Linked DNA regions of Schizosaccharomyces pombe. The protein of the gene in region 2 interacts with the protein of the main gene of each other region in a pairwise test. Each region holds a gene or a part of one and is shown on either strand. Other genes may lie near its edges.

Evidence for each region.
Region 1: the proteins of nup155 (region 2) and mge1 interact in a two-hybrid assay, tested with the Schizosaccharomyces pombe proteins (one large-scale study listed by BioGRID).
Region 3: the proteins of nup155 (region 2) and tvp15 interact in a two-hybrid assay, tested with the Schizosaccharomyces pombe proteins (one large-scale study listed by BioGRID).
Region 4: the proteins of nup155 (region 2) and ima1 interact in a two-hybrid assay, tested with the Schizosaccharomyces pombe proteins (one large-scale study listed by BioGRID).

The regions. Positions count from the first base shown.
Region 1 is NC_003423.3:4,020,673-4,024,315, forward strand, and holds mge1 (GrpE domain-containing chaperone mge1), read left to right. Parts: upstream 1-1,844; 5' UTR 1,845-1,874; coding exon 1,875-2,546; 3' UTR 2,547-3,100; downstream 3,101-3,643. Other genes in the region: Fe-sulfur protein Isa2, read left to right, coding at 1-82, 152-323; vma7 (V-type ATPase V1 subunit F), read right to left, coding at 530-756, 815-950. UniProt on the Schizosaccharomyces pombe protein: Essential component of the PAM complex, a complex required for the translocation of transit peptide-containing proteins from the inner membrane into the mitochondrial matrix in an ATP-dependent manner.
Region 2 is NC_003424.3:5,010,017-5,016,612, reverse strand, and holds nup155 (nucleoporin, WD repeat Nup155), read right to left. Parts: upstream 4,926-6,596; 5' UTR 4,882-4,925; coding exon 4,749-4,881; exon of another isoform or gene 4,698-4,748; coding exon 4,593-4,697; exon of another isoform or gene 4,537-4,592; coding exon 827-4,536; 3' UTR 594-826; coding exon of another isoform or gene 587-593; 3' UTR 547-586; downstream 1-546. Other genes in the region: protein arginine N-methyltransferase Rmt1, read left to right, coding at 17-351, 398-537, 587-593; pxr1 (PINX1 family ribosome biogenesis protein), read right to left, coding at 5,952-6,596.
Region 3 is NC_003424.3:1,314,353-1,317,191, reverse strand, and holds tvp15 (COPI-coated vesicle-associated protein), read right to left. Parts: upstream 1,168-2,839; 5' UTR 1,094-1,167; coding exon 695-1,093; 3' UTR 549-694; downstream 1-548. Other genes in the region: tnr3 (thiamine diphosphokinase Tnr3/ Nudix hydrolase fusion protein), read left to right, coding at 1-99; fsv1 (SNARE Stx8), read left to right, coding at 2,728-2,839. UniProt on the Schizosaccharomyces pombe protein: Golgi membrane protein involved in vesicular trafficking.
Region 4 is NC_003421.2:1,887,582-1,892,537, forward strand, and holds ima1 (inner nuclear membrane protein Ima1), read right to left. Parts: upstream 3,284-4,956; 5' UTR 2,892-3,283; coding exon 1,044-2,891; 3' UTR 522-1,043; downstream 1-521. Other genes in the region: qcr7 (ubiquinol-cytochrome-c reductase complex subunit 6), read right to left, coding at 1-374; SPOM_SPCC737.04 (uncharacterized protein), read left to right, coding at 4,516-4,956. UniProt on the Schizosaccharomyces pombe protein: Inner nuclear membrane protein that specifically binds to heterochromatic regions and promotes the tethering of centromeric DNA to the SUN-KASH complex.

The DNA.
Region 1 (3,643 bases), on a different chromosome or scaffold from region 2:
TGCGCGTCACTGTCGATGGTGGTGGATGCCATGGATATCAAGTATCTTTTCGCATGGACAACAAAATTGGAAATGCTGACACGTAAGTGATGTGGTTAAGAAGACTATAAGTTTTAATTAAGTATTTCCTGGTTATTGACTAAATATCTAGGGTATTTGTGCGTGGAAAAGCCAGGGTTGTTGCTGACAACATTTCATTACCTTTGATAAGTGGCTCTGAAATTGAGTATACAAATGAACTTATTGGTTCCTCTTTTCAACTTTTAAACAATCCACGTGCCAAGACTTCTTGTGGTTGTAATGTCAGTTTTGATGTTGAATGAGATTTATACTTAAAATAATACATTTCTCTTATAATCACTTTTCTATTTATCAAATATAGTTTAACAAAAACTCTGCTTACAATTTTTTGCTAGTATGCCAGTAAGTAAACCAAAAGATACAAATATAAAAGTGTCATCAGTCAAATCGATCGAGTTGTTGACTAATTGAAATTATTGCTCAAAAAATATAATTAAATATTAATAGTCTATTCTCCAATGATCTTTCTAACACGACGGAGGATACTGTCCTTTTCAGGATCATAAGGATCGTCTTTGCTAGGAATTTCCAATACAGCAGGGAATGCCTGCACATGGTTTTCAATACGATCACGTATTCTTTCAGCGGCAAACTGGTTAATCAATACAATCGCAATATCCTTCCTTTTCGTAGTATAATCATCAAAAGCTTCAGCAATCTGCTCATCTGTAGTCTCTACATAAAACAGCAAGTTAGCGAAAACACGATTCCATTTTTTAACAGATAATCTTACTCTGAGTAATTATAAAAAAGTTTTTGTCACCGTTTTCATTTACCTGACCAGTTCCAGCTAAAAGCATCCCAGTAACGGTATCATCGTCTCCAATTACAGAAACAAGTGTCCGTTCTCGATATGATTGTGAAGACATGATTTAGAGAGATAAGTATTTAGAAAATCTAGGTAAACGTCCAAGCAGGAAAATAGGAGAGTATGGTGCTACTTGAAAGCGCAACTTCTGGACTAGTAGGCGATTAAAAGTGTTCAGTGGTTGAATCGTAAATTTTCACAAAGCTTAGATAAATATTTAACAGAAAGCTATGGCTCTGCCTCTACAATCCTCAAATGTATTCCTGAGTTTAAGTAGTGATGGTGGATGAAAGTGTAAGGTCCAATACCGATAAGACATATCTGACACTTAACTAAGGTACCTTTTATTATGAAGACTTCTGTAATTAAGAATATGATATTATTATAATAGGAATTTGTGAAAATTCGACTCCCATAAATTGTTCAACAAATATCATTATGCAAATAAACTGATGAATGTAAAAATAATAAGATGGCCCAGATGACACAAATAGGATTATTTTAAAACTTAAATTATAATATTCAATTATTTTACTTTCAAAGGCTGCGAAGTAAGTACTTCGATATAATCCAATGCCGTAAAGCATACCAAGAAGGATATAAATATAGATGAGAAATCAGTTAATTATTATCTGTTGAGAATGAAGCTGAAAAGAATAAATTAATAATTGATAAGCATATGAGCCGTTGTTGGCTTCCAGTGTTGAGCAAATTCGAAATTTGGGTTGCTTTCCTACATGCATGTTCAAACCTACAATCAATTTGTTACATATCGAAATAGAAGCTTTAATTTGAGAAAAAAGTGTCATTTATATATTTTTTGAATCAGCTTCCATCTCAAAGTCCATACCTCATTTAACGAAACATAACGAATTTTTAAGTTGATGAAATTGATATTTGTAAAATTTAACAGTGCTAAGTTCACAACACCATTTGTCTATAGTGTGACACAGTTGTCTTTTACCACAAAGCTCTCACTGAAACAATGCTTGGGCTTGGAAGAGTATTTTCATCCGCTGTACGTCCTCGGACGCTTATTCGAGCACCCATTAATAAACGCAGTTTCCTTTGGTACTCAACTGAGGCTGCTAAGGAAGAAAAGCCTGCTGAAGAAAAAGTTGCCGAAACAGAGAATGTTGATGTTAAGGAACTTCAATCTAAGCTTTCTGAGCTTAAAAGTAAATATGAAGCAAAGGACAAAGAGGTTGCGGAGTTAAAGGGTAGCATTCGCCAAAGCTTAGCTGACTATCGTAATTTGGAAAACCGCATGAAGAGAGACATGGAGCAAACACGTGCATTTGCTGTTCAAAAGCTTACTAAGGATCTTTTGGATTCTGTCGATAATTTGGAGCGTGCTCTTTCAATTGTTCCAGAGGAGAAGCGTAACAATCGTGAGTCCAACAAGGATTTAGTTGATCTTTATGAAGGTTTAGCAATGACTGAATCGAACTTAATGAAAACCTTAGGAAAATATGGTTTAGTTCGCTATGACGGTATCGGAGAAGATTTTGATCCTAACATCCATGAAGCTGTTTTCCAAATCCCTGTTGAAGGTAAAAAGCCCAACACTGTCTTCCATTGCGAAAGCAAGGGTTTTCAATTGAATGGAAGAGTTATTCGTCCTGCCAAGGTTGGTGTTGTTAAGGGAGACGACTAGAGGAGCTAGTCAAAGATGATAGCAAGGAGCATACGAATACGTCGTTTCACCTATATTATTTTAATGACCAATTCGGGGTTTTTTTTTATTTTTAAACTCTCAATGTTTGTCTGGAAAGTCCTTTGTGGTATTATTGGATTTTTTCAGTCTTTTCAGGGGAACCAGAAGTCTTTCTGTGCAGATGCTTTTTTCTGCAAACTAATAGTCAAAGACAGATCGTAAAAAGTTTCATTGCATTTTTTGGGCTATGGGTACATTATTATATTTTTACCGAGGGGACTTGAATCCAATGTTTTTGTGTGGTTTGGGTTTATTGTTTAGTGATTTGCTATCACAACATAGTACCTATTTTTACTTACATTTATAAATAAAATTTTTACTCTTTAATACTATAGCTTTCACCCAAACTGGTTAAAGAATTTTGATATTTCCTTCTAAAGATTACTCAAAAGCATTTCTTTAAGAGTTAAAAGTGGAACCAAGTGGAAGGTATGTATTCTATCATTTAGTTTTATAGAATATTAAAGTTCCGAAAGTTGATATGTGCTTTAACGGTTAAGCCTCCTTTTCAAGTATTCGTAGAAGTTAAGCTAGTGTTCTGTATTACAAATTAGTAAGGAATTTTGACTAGTTTAGATGATTTTTTTGTTTTTTATAAAATAGATATGTAATAACAAACTTGCTAATAAAGTATTGATTGGAAGCAGCTAGCCTGTTCGAACTAAGCCATAGTATAAGACATTACTCAATCAGCCTAATCTAATAGATAGATATTCAAAGTTACAAATGATAAGCATGAGATCGTTTGTGGGTGATCCCGTTGCTTTTAACTTTATTAAGAATCTAGTCAATGAATAGTTTTTAATCCAGCACTGATATCGTCAGAATTGCATATTCGAGAGATATATTCATTTTTTCCAGCTCAGTAATTACACTATTACTAAATAAACTCACTTCTTAGCGATACACTACCGCAAGGGTTTACGTCTTTATTTAGATCAAGAAATGGTGCCTTGCATACTACTCGAACGTGGTGTAAAATTTACCCTTACACAATAAGTGTTGCTTGGCAACACGTTTTGCTTTCTTTCCTTCTA
Region 2 (6,596 bases):
ACCATTCATTTCTCAGTTTGGGACGACGTTTACGGTTTTGATTTTTCTCCCATAAAAAAGGATGTCTGGAAAGAACCTTTGGTTGATACGGTTGATCGCATAGCCGTCAATACCAATAGTTGTGTAATTCTTGATTTAGATTTAAAAACTGTGAAAAAAGAAGACCTCGCATTTTCCTCTCCCTTTGAAATAACCGCTACTCGCAACGATTTCGTTCATGCTTTCCTTGCGTGGTTTGACATCGAATTTTCCGCTTGTCATAAACCTATTAAGTTTAGTACCGGCCCATTCTCCCGTTACACTCATTGGAAACAAACTGTTTTCTATACTCATAAGGATCTCACTGTAAAGGTACATTTTTTCTCTTTTACAAGATTTACTAACACCACTTCTATAGGCCGGTGAATACATTAGAGGTACAATTACTTGCAAACCTGCAGAAGGAAACCACCGCGAACTTGATATTGATATTTCATACACTTTCAATCCACGTGAGCCAAATCGCGAGCCTGTTTCAGAAGACCTTTCTTATAGAATGTAAGCTATTCATAGTCATTTATCACACTTAAATTACTAACTTTGGCAGGTGTTAAATTTTACAAAAAAAAAAGGATTTAGGTTTTTTAGTTTCTAATCACACATTTATCATTGCAAGTGCTGTAAAAGAGTATTTTCTAAATTGTTTTTTTATATGTAACAGTCATAGCGATAGTTAACAACATCCAATTATGTGAAGGTTTCAAATCCATCCAATATAATCATTGCATTTATTAAATACCAAACACCATCTTTTTAAAAAATGTTGTTATAAAAAGCTATCTTTTCACTAGTATGTCTGACGAATTTCAGAATCTAAAGATATTAAATTTTCTTTGCAACTTTTCGTGGCAGTATCGGGTGCACCTAGCGCATTTTTGTATTTCTCTATTGCTTCCAAAACAAGAGGAGCATCAAAACTGGGTTTGGAGGTTTGAGCAACTCCGGCTCTTACACTCACTTCATGCCATAATTTTAATAGATGGGTAACTTCTTTTATTAGGAAAAAAAGCCTATCTTTTCCTTGCCAAGGCTTTTCTCTGCGATCGTAGAGCTGGTTTAGTACAATAAATATTAATTCATGAGAAACGCCGGCTCCCAAGAATGTATCAATAACCCAACCAGTAGCTACCGCTTCACCTTGTTGATCAAACGCATATCTTTCAGTAATGTCAATTATTTGCTCAATAGGGAAAACGTTTTCAGATTGTGAAAATCTCAGCGTCAAATTTTTTAATGTAGAGGAAACTGCTTCGACAGGGGATGACCCAACTGGTGATATTATAGCATTCTCATGAGTAGTTTTAATAATAGACTCCCAACAGTTTAAGATTTCGTTAATTCCTCTGTAATCAGCACACTGAAATATGGACAAGCATATCTCACCGTAACCCAGAGGATCAGCATAATTATTAAATAAATCGCTAAGGGGTATAATTTCCCCATCCAATTGTTTGCTCAATTCTTCTCTTTTTGAAGTAGGAATACGCATATCACCACGGATTGCTATTAAAACATCATCTTGGATACTAGCAACGTCTAGCTGCTCTAGTACACTAAGCATAACCTTATTCATTTTATGCCTAAGAGAATTAGGGACGTGGCAGCTACCAAAACCTTTGGCTCGTGTAAGATATTCAATGCGTTGTTCAAGGCTAAATGCAAGGTGGGTAGTAGCCAAATCATACAAGACTATTGAAGCTTGATAATACTGTTCTCGTTTAGCATAATACTGCCATAGTAAGTCAGCAATTTTCATGTCTTTGGTGCTGTTACGTTCCAGATAACTCTGTATGTAAGGGGAATCTATCTCAATCAAGCGATCTGTAAGCCCCTTAAATGAATACCAATCATAAAAGCAATAATGAAAAAGTTCATCCTTTGAACGCTGTATAGTATCGTATACATCAACCTTAATTGCACTCGAATCATTTGACATTTGAGATTCCAAAGAATCCAAAATCTCAAAAATGTACGAATAACACTTTGTACGGCTCTCGAAAGGTTCACGCCTAGGATCGTTCTCAGGCATTCCATCGACAAGGTAAGACAAAGCTTGATTTCGATCGTCTCTCGCACTTGCTACGTGTAATGCTAAGTTTACCGCGGTTGTATAGGCGTTCAAAGACTTGTATTCCTCAACTGCTAAACGAAGGTCTTCGGGAGTAAAGACATGTGCAGCCTTTTTAAAGAGGGTGTAGGATAACTCTATAAGAGATTGTCGCTCTTCAATGTCGACCGTATCCTTAGCCTTTTTTAAAGACTCCACGGCTTTAAAAATTAAAACATCATCAGCGCTGCAAAAACTTCCACACTTTTTACGTAAAAGCTGACTAACCATATCAATATTCCCTCCAGACTGCAGATGCCTATTGACAAGAGAATTTACGAGTTCCTTAGTTACTTCTCGACCCCGTTTCGAAGTAAAAAACTCACCAAAGGTCATGTTTGAACACGATTTTTGAATATCAATGGAGGTAGAAGAAACAATTTCATGAAAATCGGATACACCGGTATCGTTTAAGAATAACAAAAACGATATCCCCTCAACAATTTGTTGGAGGACCAAGAGCAATGCAGACAAAGCTCTATGTTCAGCTTGTACAGCAATTTCATCAGCAACATTGGATGAGCCGATGAGGGTATTTGGGCTATTAAGGCCTTCAATAAAACTTTTGTTATTTTCAAGGAACGTAGATAAATATAACAAGCCAGATTGTATTTTTAAAATTTCAGTAGCGTTAAATGCGGGCGCGTAATGGATACGTTTATTTTGCATTTTTTTAGCTATAATGACATGATTTTTCCAAACATTTCTAATAATACGCGAAATGGAGGACGCCAAACCATCATGACAACCAGACAAACGAACGAATTCTAAAGAAGAAGAATCATACTGGTTGTTATAGCGAGATTGATCAATAAAAGCTTTACCGCCAAACTCAATATAATATTTCTTTACTATGTCCAAAAGATCCGCTTGTGCAAGTTTAGTAGTGGAGCCAGAGAAGTTTGCTGCAGCATGACTAAAATCCCCCTGATCAAGACATCCACTTACAATACCCAAACAAGTTGCACAACCTTCAGCGCGACCAACACTCTCAAAAAACAGTTGAACTTGGCCATCGATTCCGGACGATAGGGAAGGTCCCATACGAATAGCAGAAGCGAGGACATCGATCGGACGACGATGAACTACCACGTAAACCCCTGTATTCGTAAGTATGGCAAAAGTAGGAGGAGGTGTGTTAAATTGAGAAACCAACTCATTGCGTTCTCGAGAATTTTGAATGCATTTAATATCTTGTACAAAACCCTTAATAGGAACGTACATGGAAGACTCTATGAGAGACGGTTGCGTACCACTCTGCCAAGCATTGGCAATTCTACCAACTTCAGGAGCAGTACAACAGACGACGTCGCCCTCATTCGTATTGGAGGAGCTTATGGCGAAAAACAAATCGGATGTATAAATATTACTCAGAGAAGAACATTTCATAGGAGTAGTTTTTACAGCACTTGACCTTTCAGGTTGTTGTTGAGATGTAGATTGATTTTGCAGGAAGAAAGGGTTAGCAGGATAATTGCGGGAAGAGGCATAATTCTCCACTTGCATAGGAGGAGGAAAACGAACGAAAGTAAGTTGTAAAGTACTAGGAGGTGTGGACGACAAAGTCGAATTAGACGGTGCATAGTGAGAAATGGGGCCCCGGCCACCTCTCATGTAAAACCGACATCCTGTAGAGGTAATTGCGACACAGTATATTTGCTGTGATTCATATGCTGGAATAGGAACTATGGAAACTATTTGAGTAGTCCGAGGATCCAATAAGGGAGAGGTTGCATTTAGCATTTGAGCTTGAGAGATCATAGAGCTGAAAGAATAAAAGACACAACGATTTACGCCGTTTTTCGTAAGTTCATAACAAGAAACAGAAGAGGTCTCTCGCAAAACATAAAGCAAGCTACGGGAGTCATCAACAGCAATCTGCTTGATGCCATCACCATGAGTACCAAAAGAAAAGAAAGAAGGAATAAAATTATCAAAAACAGAACCGGTAATATTAATTTTGCTGCATCTACGAGAAAACCAGCCTTCTTCGAGTTGGTAAGAAAATTCATACAAATTGGGATCTTTGTTTCCGGAAAAAAAAATACGTCCATCCTCCGAAGAAACGATACAATTAACATTAATCCCTTGAACAGATATTTGGATACCAGTTGAGAAGAAGGATAATTCACCAGTTTTCTCATCGATTGTAACACCTAATAAGAGCATTTCTTGTGAAGTTGCTATTACGAGTAAATGCTGGATTTCCGAGACGAAAACATTGGCCTTTGGTCTCACTAACTTTACATTGACAATGGTATGAGATAAATCTTCGTAAGCTTGAAAGTTTTGACCCGAAAGATAATCCCATAAGAACAAACGGTTGTCCACAGTTATCCAAGCACGTTGGATTTCAGCAAAAAGCCCCATTTGAGTAAAACATTCCGTACCTAAACCGATGATAAGTTAGAAAAGTTACCAAGGCGCATAAAGTTCGTTTACTTACGATTGTATTGTTCAAATATACGGTCAGGAATATTTACAACAGAACGAAGGTAAAACGGCTTCCAACCACTCAGAACTTGTGATATGTATTCTGGAGCGTGTACTTCTAAAAAAAAATAATTAGCCTTCAGAATTGATCAAACCTGCTTCAACATACGACCAATAATGTCTCCTAACTCTGGCAATTTTAAATCACGCTCCGTTGCAGCTTCAATCGCAGCATAGCCACGTGATAGAAGTTCATAAATACCATTTTCAGTCGATGAAAATGATGGATCATTGATGTCCATTTTCCCAAGCTCCAAATGAAGGACAGCTGGAAATGTTGGCTGCTGGTGCGTTTCGACCAGGCAAGGTATTCGTTGGTACAAACACGTATGCCAGAAGTTAGTTGCTTGAAGTTTTCATCTAGCAAGTTTTAGAAACATAAAACAATAGGAAAAATACTAAAAGACACATTTAAAAATACGATGTTCCCACTTCACTCAGTTATTCTTTTTGAGTAGCACTATAAATTCTCTGAAGCGCCGTAGCAGTTTGATATTAACCATATACTTCAACAATGAGTTTATAAGAACAACGCAATAATATTGCGGTTGAAATTGTAATTGTTAATCATGTGTAAGTGCAATACATAATTTAAGAAAAAAGACAGTTGCGAAGATGATTTCTTGATAGGGACAACAGATTTAATTATGTTGAAAAAAAATCGGGAAAAGATAGTAGATATATATTGCTGAGCATTACTGTGATTTTTCTGTATTCACATACTATTCTATTTTTACTGAACTATACTAACTTTCTCTAGCAGGAGATCTACTTTTAAATTGGTGGTTGTACTAGCTCGAGTAGTTTTCTTTTTAGACTTCCTTTTGTATGGAAACGTGCAATTTAATGCATGTGAATATAACCAGAGTTTTAGTGATGGAGGAATAGCCTTCCGATCTCCATAGCTTAATAGAAATGTTATTTTTAACTAATTCTTTGTATGGCATATGAGATACTTCGATTGGTATGTGTGTAAATGATTATCGTAACTTTAATGAATGTTTAGTAATGTAAAACTTTCAGGATGAAGTCGTCAATATTTTTACCTAAAATCCCGTATTACACAAACCAGAGTCATAAAATACGAACGCGATTACTCTCAATAGCTGATTACAATACGACATAAGTAGCTTTTCGAAATTACAAGCCCGAATCCAGCAATTTCTTCCAAAATCAACTAAATATTACCTTCTATTAAGACATAGATTAAAAAACCGACAAACCCTTCCTCTTAAAGTATTGTATACCCATAACTTCTAAGACTCGTTTATTATATTCCGCAAGTTAGAAAAATAGCAAAAGAAGTCACTTCCTAACCTTTAATACCTAAAATCTCCCTTAAAGCAACTGGGTCGCTTACTGCTGCTCGCTTTTGTGCCAAAAATTTTCTTCTGGTATGGAAATGAATGCTAGCGGGTCGGTTGCCTTCTTTGACCTTCTCGACAGAGGAAGTGGACTCTGGTTTATCCTTTAATTTTATTTTCTTTTTCTTTTTCTCTTCTTTGTCGCTTGAGCCTGATTTTCTCTTTTTTGAAGAACTTTCCTTATCCTTTTTCTTGTGCTCTTTTTTCTTCTTCTTCGTTATTTTTTCCAACTTTTTAGGATCAAGAGCCGAACCAGTAGAGGTCTTTTTCTTACTTTTCTTCTTAGAAGAGTGCTTCTTTCTTTTTTCACGCTTAGCTTCATCGGATGAAGACGCATCTTCACATACACGATCCTCATCCTCCTCTGCTTTTTGCATCCATTCAGAAAATTCACTAGTAAACGTCCCACCCAAAACAAATCGTCTGGATAGCTCAAGTGATTTTAAACCCTTCTCATTCGCACTCTGTCTCTCGTATGTTAGTTGCTGCACCTTTGCTTTCTCAGCATAGACACCATACGCAGACTCATCGCCGTTAAGTCGACCAAAAATAGCGTTGAATTCACCTAAACCGCTCCATTCAAGATCGTTAGT
Region 3 (2,839 bases), 3.7 Mb from region 2:
TTTGGAGGACTCGTCAGCTCTTGCAATGTAGTGACAAAAGCAACGGTGACTATAGAGGTCAACAATTTTATAGTATGGACAATGGAAACACGTCTATAAGACCTGTAAGTAAGAAACTCAGAAAGAATATTCATTATTCCCAACAGCTCAAAAAAATTAAGATATTTATTTAGATATAAAAAATATAAAACATCTATAGAGTATAAGCGGTAATGGTCATAAAGCAAAAAGATAATTGATTAGAGTAATGAAATAAAATAGAATTTTAGTAAAGCCAACTAACATTTTGAACTGCAAGATACATCTCAGAAAGTGAAGAAATAGAAAAAAATCATAATTTTTCATATTGTTGAGCTTGACATGTCATTTTTATCCTCCTCGATACACCCGACAGTTCAGAATCCAAGCTGGACAATTAAAGGTATTTGAATGTATAACCCTAAAACCCATCACAAATACCATAGCTACTACGCTAATGTTGATATACAAAAATTATACATAGTTAAGAGATCGTATACATATTTATACTCATTAACTACTCTGAGGATGACTGCTAAAGTGACTGTCTTTTAGAACACCTACCCTGAAGAAAACGAATGTATCCAGAATAAATCATATGTAGGAGGACATCGGGAAAAGAGGGGGGTAGGAACAAGAACCGAATCAAATAATATAGTTAGAAATAAAAAAAAGTCTACACTTCATCAACGTTATCATCCCAATCATTATCACGCATGCTTCTGGGAGCGTAGTCTTGCAATCCTGCTACGTAGTTTGCACCACAGTAGGCGATACCTGCAAGAAGAACTAAAAAGCCTAGGAAAGAAGTAAACCCGGAGTAAGAAAAGAGTAAAGTACCCATGAAAGCGTAGAAGAAGCCCCTTCCTAAGAATGAGAACATGAACGATCCATATTTAATAGCAATAGGAGGAATTTCCTTTTCTAAACCAATAGTTCCCAAACCGAAAACGATGATGAACAATGCAAGTAAAGCGTTTACGAAGCTAAATGAAAATAACTTGATAAATCCGCTTAAAACGAAGATACCACCTACGCCCAAATTAATGGCACTAAACATTTTTGTTTTATCCATTGTGAATTAAGTGTATGCAACCAATATTAAATTTTTCAAGCAATATGTATTTTAGTCGATGTTTGCTTAAAGACAAAGAGAAATGCAAGTTACTAAGCCTGCCTATGCTTACCGATGCGGTCATGCATATTTACGAACTATTGAAATACGGTAAATAAAAATAACGAATTCCATAATTCTCAACCAACTTTTTGTTGTTTACAGAAAATGAATAATTCAATTCATCGAAAATGCATTTTGTTTTCTATAGCATTCTTTGTACTGTTTTTGAAGTTAAAAACACTATCATTTAGTAAATAATGTACTTTCGACCCGGCTTTTTTTTGAGACAACTGTTGTTGACAATTTTAAGGTCTGTGGGTCAATTTATATATTTGTCAAACGTTCGTAAACAAATGTATTTGTATCTTAGTTTCATACGAGCTCCTTTAGCTATATGTGATCTACTCTCACTCGGGATCTACAGGGCTGTAAAATTTTTTGCACTCAAGTTTCACGCGATTATTATCAGATGCACCTGAATAAAAAAGAATAAAGTAAAATAAAAAGCCGAATGTTTTATAACGTAGTAAAATTCCTTCTTATTTTGATCGCTTTGCCATTCATTTGATTATGTTTATAATGATAATTTCACGTGCAATGTCAACTTTGATAGACGGCTACATCTATTTCTAATTCGTAACGCTATAAAAAAAAACTCCATTTTAAACTGAGAATAAAGCAAGAAGTCGATTAGCCGAATATAGATATCAGCATGATTCGTTTTAAACGGCCCAAAGCCTTGTATATATTTGAGTAATTTTCTACTGTACTTAATTGTCTGTAATTAAACAACTATTTGTTACTCCTACCTTGTTACACTTGGATTTAATACTCTGGAATTAGTGTACTAACTCCTAAATAAATATTTAAGTAGTATTTTTCTTTAAGATATTTCTTTAATAAACATTCTCTTCTAATGAAAAGAAAAGCGTCATTATTGGTATTTTAGTTTTCAGAGCAAAGAGGTACTTAACATTTATTATGTCGCAATTATTTTATATATATATTATATTAATATTTTGTAATGAGAAACCTAGGCCTAATAGTGTAGTGGTTAACATACCTCTTTCGGGTAATCCCCACTTGTATGCTGAGTTTAGAGGTGATCCCTGGTTCGAATCCTGGTTAGGCCCCTTTTTATACTGGGCTTGCTGTATAAATTTATCTGATTAATTTTGAAACTACGCAAACCAACTTTCAATAATTAAAAAGTTTTCCTTACACCTTGCTTGATTACCTTTTAATAGATGTGAAATAAGAACTACTAAATTTGTGATAAATACCGAAAACAATCAGAAGAGTCGAAAAGAAGCATTCAAAAAATTGTGTAAATAACGAGTAGGTTTCTAATAATACGATAATTTCACAGGATGCCTATAATGGATCTGGCAGCTAATGAGCAAATCATTTTTACTTTTTTTTTTATTTAAAACATACGAAAAGATTCTCTTTTTTTGCTGCAAACAAAATTTACTGTAATTGAACCTAGAATTGGTAGCAAAGGCATTACACCGTATTACTGTAAACTTCACTAATGTTTGTGTTTTTAGGCGCATGATGAACATGATTACTCAAGAAAGTAACCAGCGACTATGTCAAATTTGCTTCTGATCATTGACTCGGTTTCACAAAAAATAAGAGACAGGAGGAAGTTGGAAGAGTTTGGACAGAATCCCGATGAAGAAATTGAGTCTTCATTGAAAG
Region 4 (4,956 bases), on a different chromosome or scaffold from region 2:
GTCTCGGGTTTCTTAACAATGAGAGCGTCGAAGGCCTCACGCTCTTTCCTCTCCGCGATAACCTCAGCTAAAACAGGTCTGAGGTAATGGTAATCCTCCTCAGGCTTTGTCCATTCAGATTTTGGCAAAATTTTATTCTCAATGCTAAGTTGCATGGCACGGCGAATACGATAGACTCGATCGTAGGATTCCATCTTAGGCAAACGAGATAACGCCTTTTGAGTATCGTCATTCTCCTCCAACATCAAATCGTCGTATCGAAGACCATATTTACGGTATCCTGACAAATGCACATAGGCATTGGAGATGGGTAAAAGCAATTTCGTCAAAAATGGTGATTTTTGAATATACTTGGCAAGAGACACAGGTTTCATACTTAAACAATCACTTCAGCAAAAAAAAATTTCGTCACTACAAAATTTGCACTGAAATCAATAAAACTCTTAGTTTTGAATATTGGAAGAAGGTAAGATCTCATGGCCCTATAGTATGCCAATGAATCCTTCGGTCACCTGATGTTACCTGCACATAGAATCCTGAGCGGAATTAGAAAGTAATGAAAATCTGAATATCCTAGTATTCTCGGCTCATTTCTCTTAAGTTATTGTTTAACTCTAACGATTTTATAACCTAAACTAATTTAACGACGTGTCTAACATATATTCGGGAATGCACCATTGCTAGTATTCGTATGAACCAGAAGTTTGCTCAGGTTACATGTTCTCTTTCAGTACTAACCTATTGAAACGAATGAAATTTATCAAATAAAACTCGTTAGTATGAAAAATACTTAATTATATAGCTTTAATAGGAAAAAAAAAGTAAATTTATATTGGATCCCATTTGTGCGAATGCGCTAGCTCGAATATGTCGAGTTGCCAGAAAGGAGCTGAAAAACTTTAAACAAATGATAGCGACATAACCGCCTCTGGCAATATTAGTAACGAAATTTATTCCAAAATTGGATAAATTAATGAATGATTGGTTTGCAAAAGAATATATTCCATATTACTTTGCATCCACTTCTTTAAATAGTAACCAGATCAAGCCACCTTTCTTAAAGGATAAAAGTTGTGTTTCATAACATAATATGTGGCTAACACCAATATGCATAAATAGTAAATGAACATAGTAAAACGATTCAAACGCCATCCGCAAATTAACCCAACGAGGAACAAAATTGTGAAAGCAATGAGAAGCTTTGCATTTCGACGATTCCGGTGAAGAACGTTTTTCACCTGAATAACTTCTGTTGGATCGTTCTGAAGGGCTAAAGACTTACTAAAATGACTTTCAAGGCTCACTGGCTCATTTTGAATTTCGCGATTTTGACCATCCCCTGCTTTACCAGTATCTTTCTTTGCAGTGGACTTTAAAGTAGACACGGAAAAAGGTAAATTCTTCTCTATCACGTTATCACCTTTTAGAGATATGGAAGGGTTCAGGGAAAATTTACTTGGCTGATTAGACGTCGTATGAATAGAATCGTTTACTTTGTTGCCCACTTCTTGAGGAACCAGTTTCGATAAAGGAGAATTTTGAAGCTGAAGAGTAGGTTTAAGCATCGGTCGAACAGGACTAGATGTTGGAAGGGCGGCCATTTTTTTTTGAAGAAAAGTCATAGGGGATTCCTCCGGAGCTCTCTCACGAACAGACTGATTTCCCAAATGAGACGTTGCGTTGGTATTATTCAGAATTGAAATTGTCGCAAATTGCTGCAATTTATTCTGCCCACTAATTCCATCTTTTCTGTCACTCGATTCCTTTCCTATCCGATGCACAGAAGATGTACTTTCCTGACGCTTCTTGCGTGGTTTCAAAATTTCGCCAGTCAAATGAACTTCTGGAGGAGGACTTGGCTTTAAACATGAGATGCTAATCCATGTAAAACAAATGGTAACAAAGAAAAAGGCTGCATGTATTTGACGGAGTAAAAAATCACTTTCAAGATTGGTATCCGAGCTTAAGTTCAAAATTTCCGACTCATAACATGAAAGGAGATACAAGCAAGTTAAACGGATAATAAGATAAAGTGCCTGACATTGGATATACTGATCCCGCCCAAAAAGCTCCCAAGATGGATTGTCCATCATTTTGTACCAATACGGGTTCCAAAAGACAACGAAAAAACCAAGCCAATTAAAGTAAAAAATTTTGCTAGAGGATCCATCTAATAGGAAGTAAGAGATTGCTTTTAGAAATAAATTACGAATACCATCTGGTAATAAGCTTATTATCATAGAATGATACAAATGCCACACAATCGATTGCAAATAGAAAAACGAAAAACCAAATCCACGAAGTAACCAAAGAACAAAAGAAGCTTTTGGATAGTGATGGGGGACTTTTGCGTTTAGCTGTTCCTTTGACTTTTGCAGCCAATATCCTAAAACCTGATTTTTGGCTTCATAATCATTGGCATCAAGTTGGTCTTGAACGGAGTCATAGCATTCAGAGCAAACAATGGGAAATTTCTCTTCTATAGATTTTTTATACTCTGGTAATGCCTTCTCATAAGCCTGATAATCTGGATGTGATGAGTCTGGCAGATAATCAGCAAGCATCCGATTCACAATCAGTTGGTTCATTTGACATTTTTCACAAAAGGGGCTCTGAAAGGAAGAACTGCTTGGGAAATCCCGTATCGCGTAAAAAGGACCAACACCCTTGTCTTGAGTTGGGGTTGGAGGTCGATAATCCAGGATATCACCTTTCTCATCAATATGGTTGGTGGCTTCACAAATTGAGCAAGTCCAAGTAGACGTTCCGTCTCTAATTTTTTCCTTCTTCTTGTTGCAATAAAAACAAGTTACTGTTTTATCACCAAAAGTGGATTTCAATCCATCATCGGAATTTCCCAATCCAAGTGTAAACAATCGGCTAGATTCCATTTCCCATTATACCATTTAATGCAAAGTTCTCATAGAATCCTGTGTGTGCAAATTTAAAAAAAAAAAGGGAAACAACAAGTCAAACCAGCACACGTAAGAAGAAAACCAAACAACTGATATTCTGTGAGTTAACGGAAATAAAATGCATGTAAATATCTTTTATATCAAGGTACAAGGTGTAATGGTACAGAGGACCCCTTATACAGAATGACCTTTATCAAACACTTGTGCTGCTTGACAAAGTAAAAGAGAAGTACTAAATAACGAGTGAAGTAACAATTAGATACACTTGAATAGTATAAAAGTTTTCTTGAAATGTTGAGCAAGAAAACTCGAAGATTTCGACTATACAGTTTCCCCACGGTGCTCGTGGTGAGAATAGGGAAAAGGCCGACCGTCAGCAGGGTCCCAAGCCAATTCGTAGCGGGTTGTCAGAACAAAGTTCAAACAAATTGAGGATAAAAGGAGTTTTTGAAGAAATGAGCTGTTTAATTTTTTTTTGTTTGTATTTTCTTTTTCGAGCTTCCTAGAAAAAAAAAATTTGAACCATTGTACCAGAAGAACGATCAGTGTTTGTGGCTTATTTTTAGAGCCTTACTTATGATATGCTCTACGACGCATTGAAGTGGAATGCAATGAGAAATATCTTAATAAATTTTCTTTTTAATAAAACCAACCGCTCTTAATTTGTTAGGTGAAAGTCAACAAAAAATCTTTTTGGTATTTTATGCAAATAATTCGTTTAACAAAAAGTTTAATAGTTTTTAAGTTCGCTTAATTTTTAAGCTACAAAGGAACGAGTTTGAGAAGTTGTGTAGAAAAGTATTGACAAAATGTAGGCTGAGTGGATGTCTACAACAATGCCTACAAGCCATCGTTAAATGTCAAATGTATTGATGAAACAAGCCGCTTTTAAATGAAAGATTGCATTTGCATCTTAAGCTTGCGCCAACATTGACTGTTGCCCCATTGTAAAAAAAAAATTCAATAATGTCTGTCAATGGAAACGGTGTATGTCACTGACTCCAAAAGGTCATAATCATGAATTAAGCACGAAAACGAAAATTTCATACAAGTAGTTCATTTTTACTTTTCAATCCTTATTGCATGTTGAGAAAGGAAATCTAGTCTTGTAACTATAAGCAATAGACAGCATGATCATCTCTATTCTATTACAAGTTGATTAAAATTGATATGCTGCGCCATTAATTAACTTACGAGAGGCTCATCGCTACGATGAAATGGCTTAGACCATGATTATACAAAATATTATAGGGTAGAGACGATTAGGAAATTGGATGTCTTCGTAAACTTGAAATAGGACGAGTTGCGAAAGTTGATGTTTTACGTGGCTTGGGGAGCGTTGTTAGGAAAAGCATGATGAAGATGGCAAAATGGCTAAGCTAAGATAAACGATTTCATATTTAGTATTTAACAGGAAACAAAGCCCTTTGGAAAGAACCAAATTTTAATAATTTTTTTTTTTTACTTCATTTCATTACCTTTTATTTTTAAGTTGGACGCACTGTGGTTTTGAGATTCTGGATATTGGTATCCTTTTTCTTCTTTTCTACGATTCTCGAAGTTTTAAAAGTTTCAAAGTATTTTACCGACATTCGACAATATGTCGATATCTAATCAATCGGGTTTGGATATTTTGAGAGAAGTTGATGATGAAGGTCAGGAAAACTCTTTCTTGAGAAAGACTACAAGGAAAATCCAGCAGTTTTTTAAATCGGATCCGGGCTATCAATCTCGCAAAGCCGAGTACAACAGTCCTGCTAAGGCTACGGGCGATGTGAATATTAATGTTACGAGTCAGGATTGGTTATCCAAGTTGGATCGTAATCTATCCATCGAGAATTTAACAGGTAAAAGCTTGGGTATCGTAGTAGTGTCTGGGAGAAATAAAGGTCTCATAAAGAATCCGTTTTTAGGGGGGTTAGTGGATATTGTTATGCGTCGACAGGATAAACTATATCTCAAAAGTGTTGAGCAAGTGTCTTCTGAATATTCACCGATGCAGGAACAGGTGTACGAGTTCAAAGTAGATATGCCTTTGGTG